2 linked regions of the Xenopus tropicalis genome follow. The protein of the gene in region 2 interacts with the protein of the main gene of each other region in a pairwise test. Links are inferred from orthologs where the notes say so. Each region holds a gene or a part of one and is shown on either strand. Other genes may lie near its edges.

Region 1 (3,660 bases), on a different chromosome or scaffold from region 2:
GCGATAGTAAACGGCGGAAGAACCAATACAATTTTTTCACAAAAATACTGATCATTACGAAAAAACACATTCTGACACCTTCGGACCGTTCGTGGATTAGTAAATATGCCCCATAGAGTTGCCAGTCATTAATGCAGCATTGGTTCCCGCACAATCCTTTAATAGGCTGGAATACAGTTTAAATTTGTATTCCAGCCTATGAACAATCGTAATACCCACTGCCTAGTGTGACTGCCAGAAGCCCCCTTCTCTCCATGTAGCTGGCACACATTTACACAGGGTAAGTGCGGCTAGGCTGGGGGAGACATAGGGTCAATCTTTAAACCAGCATAGAGTTGTATTATTAGTAATATGCGTTCCTTACCGTTATAGGAACATGTCCGTATCGCCTTAAGTTGGGTTGAAAAAAGACTAAAGATCAACCCCTCCAAATGAGCCCCAATGCACATATAATATATATATATATATATATATATATATATATATATATATATATATATATATATATATAATATATATCTATATCTCTGTACACAAAATATCATTGCTACCTGCATTGCATCCAGTCCATGCATAGAATAAAAACAATATATTAGTGCTCTGCAGTTGGAGTCCCCTGGGTGTGAGGTAGGGCCTCAGACCTACCAAGAAGCTTCTTTAAATGTGAGCACTAACCTGTTTAGGGCTCTGGCACACGGGGAGATTAGTCGCCCGCGGCAAAAGTCCCTGTTCGCGGGCGACTAATCTCCGCAAGTTGCCTACCCCTGCCAATATTATACATATACTCGCGAGTCTTTTTCAGCGATTTGCGCGAAATCGCGCCGCCGCGTCTACCATCCCGCCGGCGACTTACATGTTCGCCGGTGGGATGGTAGACGCGGCGGCGCGATTTCGCGCAAATCGCTGAAAAAGACTCGCGAGTATATGTATAATAATGTATATTTTGGATATTTGACCTACCTAGGTTCTAGTGACACAAACCATATTCACGGATTAATGCTGCCCCTTTAACTAAAATTATGTTACTAAAGCAAAAGTCTTTACTGTATCACTGTAATGCAAAGTTTGCTTCCTAAGTGCCTGTGTGTCCTTGCATCATTTCAGTACTAGTCAGTATTATTTTGGTGGTTGGTGAAAGGTTCTATTTCATGCTGGCTTATTTCTGTAAACCCCTTTATAAATACAAACAAAGCACTGCACTGCATACACCCTGACACTTTTAAAACAGTGATCCTTGCAGGTAGCTCATTTAGCCCTTCCCTGTGCCTTCTCCTGCATTGCCTTGTTCCATGGCTTAACTTTGTGCCTGCCTTATTATTGTGTAATGAAGTAGTATAATGCTGGTGACTATGGCTTCTTCACAGGTCATAAAGAAAGCTCTAACTGAAGAAAAAAGGGTCTCAACCAAAACATCTGTGGTGGATCTAGTAACGGAGACTGATCACTTTGTGGAAGAGCTAATTATTTCAGCTCTAAGAGAGAAGTTTCCCTTACACAGGTATATTGCTATAATGTATTTTGCTGTTATGATATGGAATCTGTATCTGTCTTTATGGAGTATAATAAACAGTGGTTCTGCTGGCTATGAGTGATGCCCAACCTGCTTTCTTTTTACATTTGTCCTCTATTTTATGTTGGCAAAACATCAAAAATTGAAATATAATGTTTGCATATGAATTATTTAGTCCCTAAACATTTAATATTTCGTAGAGCCAGCAATAACCACTTTATATATTTAGAATAAGTATGTGCCTTCAAAGTATTGTATTGGTATTATCCTAGACCATTTGCAGTGGGGTGTGCTGAATAACACTATAATTTTAAATTAACTTGTATATACAGTACATACATACATACTATAATTATTTCTGGTTAATCGAACAAGTCTGTACCAGCATTGCATATGATTAATACCCATTCTCCCAGACAGATTTGCGCTAGGTTTTTCAGGTTACAAGAATGATGTTTGTGCACCTCAGTTTTCTTAGTGCACTAAATCCTTCATCAAAAGAAACACAGGGTTTCCTTTCTTCTTTTGTGCAAATATGTTCTTTGGTATCGGACTTCCTCTCTCAGTGCCAGAGTCTGGGCAGCTCTCCTCTCTCCATTCTCCTCCCCCCCCAATAAGAATTCACTTTCCCCTCCCATCAGAACAAATGGAGGTAGCTTTTAGGGCTGTTTACTCAGGTATGGTAAAGCTTTCTGCAGAATAAATATAGCGTTCTAGGTGGCACAAATGTGGCTAATCTATATCTCGCACAAAATCCTACTGTCCTCCACCTTCATCCTCCAAATCCCACAATTCCCTGTACAGGATATCAATAAGGAAAGGAACATCATAGTGCAATGCATTGTGGGTTATGTAGTTCCTGTATGCTGTTTGTAAACTGTTTTTACAATTTGTATCATCAATGTTTAGTCCCTCCTCCCCTGCCTGTATTTTAAATGATGCAGATTTCAGCATATAAAAATTCTATTCACACTTTTTGAAGAAACATATTACAGTGATAGGTATATTAGGGGTCTCTGTTGTTGTGTGGGGCTCTTTAACAATTTTTGCTGGAGTTCCCCTTTAAACCTAATCCCACCAAATTATCTGTTTTTGCCCCTTGATACATGAACCAAACCCAGACCTCTCTGCTATTCAAACTGCTGAGCCATGTATCTTTTAGGTTTCAAAGGCACCAGTTGGTGTAGGTGTGTTTGTCCTTCCTGTTCTATATTTATATCACCCACTTGTGAAAATGACGGGCTGTTTGTATGATTTTCTGTTTCAGTGGTTAGTACATCACTGTAAAAGGGTAAGGTTTGATTTACTGCAAACAAAGTGTAGCAGTTTATTTAAGTATTGCAACTGTAACATACTTTTCACAGCATGATTTATTTAAACTGAATAACCGTAAGGTGTCATTTAAATAATCACCATGGCTATGTGATAAATTTACAGGGAAGGGGGTAATAAATTAGGCCTTTATCTTTAGGTCACTTACCTTCATATCTTTAAGTATACATTTTCAAAGTATTTGAAGTACTGAAATATCCTAACATAACAAAGAAAATACAAACTGTTAATGTACATAAATATAAATGTGCATCATATACACCCAAAGTAATCTAAAGCATTAGTTCAAGGCCAGGTCCTGGACACACAATGTATACTTCCCACGTTTTCTGTCCAAATGTCAGATTTGAGAATGAACCTAAGGGCAAAACAGCAAATTGACCCAAAACCATTTCCATCTAAGAATTATTTTAATCTTGGGGTTTGTTTTCCTTTTCTTCTCTTAAAATGTGCAAGTAAAATTTTTCTTATCCAAACTTCTAAGAAGTTATATCCATTGTTTATCCGTTGCTGATACATCAGTTAATGCTTTCTGGATTAACAGCCTATTCTCCATGTGTAGGTTTATTGGAGAAGAATCTACGTCTGCAGGTTCTAAATGCGTGCTTACTGACAGCCCCACCTGGATTATTGATCCTATCGATGGAACATGTAACTTTGTACACAGGTATTTTTTCTTTGGAAATTTTGTCTAGGTTTTAAGGCTTTCTTATTTGAGACATAAATATTTTATTTATTAATTGGAAAATAAGTATTATTGAATCAATTGAATTGTATTGAATCAAGATTTTGGGAGTTCTGTAGAAAGTTAGAAAATT
Region 2 (3,660 bases):
TATGGAGGGAGAGGGGCTGAGATGGTAAGATGCCCTTGAGAGGAACCTTACACATAATGATATAAAACATAACATCCAAACATTACAGACTGCAGATAAGGCACATTCCTGCTTACCTGTAAATAAAGGGTTTTATTTTTCCCATCCAGTGTTGCAGTAATAGCAGGAGATTTCATCTGTCTGCATCAAACACAATAAGAGACATAAGGGAAGCCAATTATATTTAGAAAGCAAAATAACCCAGTATCTATCTATCTATCTATGCTTCCTAAAGGCAAAGTTGACCTTTACCATAACTTCTTGAACATTATAGATTAGCCTATTCTATATGAACAGATTTTATTATCATCCACCCTACATTACATTTGTTGCTTATCTTTTTATTCAGGCACTCTTCTTTTTACTTTCAATTGTAGCTTCCAAACAACATAGTTGCTAGGATACCTAAAGCCTAGCAACCAAAGAGCAGTCTAAATTCTAAGCCTGGGAGCGGCAGAATTAAAAAACAAATATAATAAATTGCAAATTGTCTTAGAGTACCAGTTAAGTAGAATGGCTAATTCTAGGCAACTCTTTAATTGGGCTTTATTTTTTTCTTCTTTAAAGTTTCTGACTCTTTCCATGTTTCAAATGGGGGTCACTGACCCCAACATCTAAAATAACAAGGACACTATAAGCCTACAGTTTTATTGTTATTGCTACTTTTTATTGCTCATTTTTCTATTCAGGCCCTATACTATTTATATTTCATCCTCTCATTCCAACCAATGCCTGGTTGCTAGGGTAATTTAGACCCTAGCAACCAGACAGCTGCTGAATAAAAAGATAGCTCAAAAAACCACAAATAATAAAAAATGAAAACAAACTGGAAATGATGTCAGAATGTTACTCTTTGTGTCATGGAACAGTTAATTTAAAGGTGAACAAGGATGATCAAGCACTTACAGTGATGTGTCATTTGTCAAATAATCCAGCACCTCCTGCAATTTGGCTGAAGAAGGAAACTGGATGTTCTGTGGGAGTTGGCTGCAAGCGGGACAATTTTCCTGTCAAACAAGAAAAGAAATGTTTATAGTTGAATCCGTTTAGACTGCTGCTGTGACGCAGAACTTCACCCTTATCTGCTAAATGAAAGGAACTACGTGTCCTGGAAAAGTGCGTTATTTTATATGATGGCAGATGGGGATCACTGACTGCTGAATAATTCCTGTCCGCGACCATGTTTCAACTGGAGGTGGCTACAGGAGAAGGCGGCTTTCTGCAATCCTTAAAGGGGAACTCCACCCAAACACAACTTAAGCTTTGTGTAAAGTAAACATAATTTCAAGCACCTTTGCAAAATAAAGCAATTGTAAAATATGCAGCCTTTTCATGATTGGTAATGTGATAATCTGGTTTGGAACAGTTCCCTAAGCCCCGCCCCCTGTTCCCCTGCTGGTCTGGCTGGCTAATTTGTGACTCAAATAAACTGTAACAGTAGTCGCCTGCCCTCAGCCTGCCTTCAGCCCGCCTCCTCCCAATCCCACAATTCCCTGCTGCACACGTGATGTCAATAAGGAAAGGAACATCCCAGTGCAATGCATTGTGGGTTATGTAGTTCCTGCATGCTGCTTGTAAGCTGGGGAGAAGTTGTTATAATTTGTCACATTCGAAATGGCCTTTCCGTTATTCTGAACTTTCTGGATAATGGGTTTACAGATAACAGGCCCCATACACGTATTGGACCTGTTTTCCAGAATGTTTCTCCATAACTTAAGTCTACTAAAAAATAATTTAAACATTAAATAAACCCAATAGGGCTGTTCTGCCCCCAATAAGGGGTAATTATATTTTAGTTGGGATCAAGTACAGGTGCTGTTTTATTATTACAGAGAAAAGGGAACCATTTAACCATTAAATAAACCCAATAGGGCTGTTCTGCCCCCAATAAGGGGTAATTATATCTTAGTTGGGATCAAATACAGGTACTGTTTTATTATTACAGAGAAAAGGAAATCATTTAACCATTAAATAAACCCAATAGGGCTGTTCTGCCCCAATAAGGGGTAATTATATCTTAGTTGGGATCAAATACAGGTACTGTTTTATTATTACAGAGAAAAGGAAATCATTTAACCATTAAATTGTAAGCTCTTTTGGGCAGGGCCCTCTTCACCTCTTGTATCGGTTATTGATTGCTTTTATATGTTACTCTGTATGTCCAATGTATGAAACCCACTTATTGTACAGCTCTGCGGGATATGTTGGCGCTTTATAAATAAATGTTAATGTAATAATAATGTAAATTAAATAAACCCAATAGGGCTGTTCTGCCCCTAATAAGGGGTAATTATATCTTAGTTGGGATCAAGTACAGGTACTGTTTTATTATTACAGAGAAAAGGGAATCATTTAACCATTAAATAAACCCAATAGGGCTGTTCTGCCCCCAATAAGGGGTAATTATATCTTAGTTGGGATCTAGTACAGGTACTGTTTTATTATTACAGAGAAAAGGGAATCATTTAACCATTAAATAAACCCAATAGGGCTGTTCTGCCCCAATAAGGGGTAATTATATCTTAGTTGGGATCAAGTACAGGTACTGTTTTATGATTACAGAGAAAAGGGAATCATTTAACCATTAAATAAACCCAATAGGGCTGTTCTGCCCCAATAAGGGGTAATTATATCTTAGTTGGGATCAAGTACAGGTACTGTTTTATTATTACAGAGAAAAGGGAATCATTTAACCATTAAATAAACCCAATAGGGCTGTTCTGCCCCAATAAGGGGTAATTATATCTTAGTTGGGATCAAGTACAGGTACTGTTTTATTATTACAGAGAAAAGGGAATCATTTAACCATTAAATAAACCCAATAGGGCTGTTCTGCCCCCAATAAGGGGTAATTATATCTTAGTTGGGATCAAGTACAGGTACTGTTTTATTATTACAGATAAAAGGGAATTATTTAACCATTAAATTGTAAGCTCTTTTGGGCAGGGCTCTCTTCACCTCTTGTATCGGTTATTGATTGCTTTATATGTTACTCTGTATGTCCAATGTATGAAACCCACTTAGGGTACAGCGCTGCAGGATATGTTGGCGCTTTATAAATAAATGTTAATGTAATAATAATGTAAATTAAATAAACCCAATAGGGCTGTTCTGCCCCCAATAAGGGGTAATTATATCTTAGTTGGGATCAAGTACAGGTACTGTTTTATTATTACAGAGAAAAGTGAATCATTTAACCATTAAATAAACCCAATAGGGCTGTTCTGCCCCAATAAGGGGTAATTATATCTTAGTTGGGATCAAGTACAGGTACTGTTTTATTATTACAGAGAAAAGTGAATCATTTAACCATGAAATAAACCCAATAGGGCTGTTCTGCCCCAATAAGGGGTAATTATATCTTAGTTGGGATCAAGTACAGGTACTGTTTTATTATTACAGAGAAAAGGGAATCATTTAACCATTAAATAAACCCAATAGGACTGTTCTGCCCCAATAAGGGGTAATTATATCTTAGTTGGGATCAAGTACAGGTACTGTTTTATTATTACAGAGAAAAGGAAATGATTTTTAAAAATTAGAATTATTTGCTTATAACGAAGTCTATGAGAGATGGCCTTTCTGCATAATGGATCCCAACCTGTATAAAATAAAAAAATA

Evidence for each region.
Region 1: the proteins of uba3 (region 2) and impa2 interact in binary tests that used the Homo sapiens proteins (3 or more experiments, as listed by UniProt). The two-hybrid records come from large-scale screens. The link is inferred for Xenopus tropicalis from reciprocal best matches to the Homo sapiens genes UBA3 and IMPA2.

The regions. Positions count from the first base shown.
Region 1 is NC_030682.2:103,845,722-103,849,381, reverse strand, and holds part of impa2 (inositol monophosphatase 2), read left to right. Parts: intron 1-1,364; coding exon 1,365-1,498; intron 1,499-3,404; coding exon 3,405-3,509; intron 3,510-3,660. UniProt on the Homo sapiens protein: Phosphatase that can use myo-inositol monophosphates, myo-inositol 1,4-diphosphate, scyllo-inositol-1,4-diphosphate, glucose-1-phosphate, beta-glycerophosphate and 2'-AMP as substrates in vitro.
Region 2 is NC_030680.2:141,994,136-141,997,795, reverse strand, and holds part of uba3 (NEDD8-activating enzyme E1 catalytic subunit), read right to left. Parts: intron 1,047-3,660; coding exon 946-1,046; intron 181-945; coding exon 117-180; intron 1-116. UniProt on the Homo sapiens protein: Catalytic subunit of the dimeric UBA3-NAE1 E1 enzyme. E1 activates NEDD8 by first adenylating its C-terminal glycine residue with ATP, thereafter linking this residue to the side chain of the catalytic cysteine, yielding a NEDD8-UBA3 thioester and free AMP.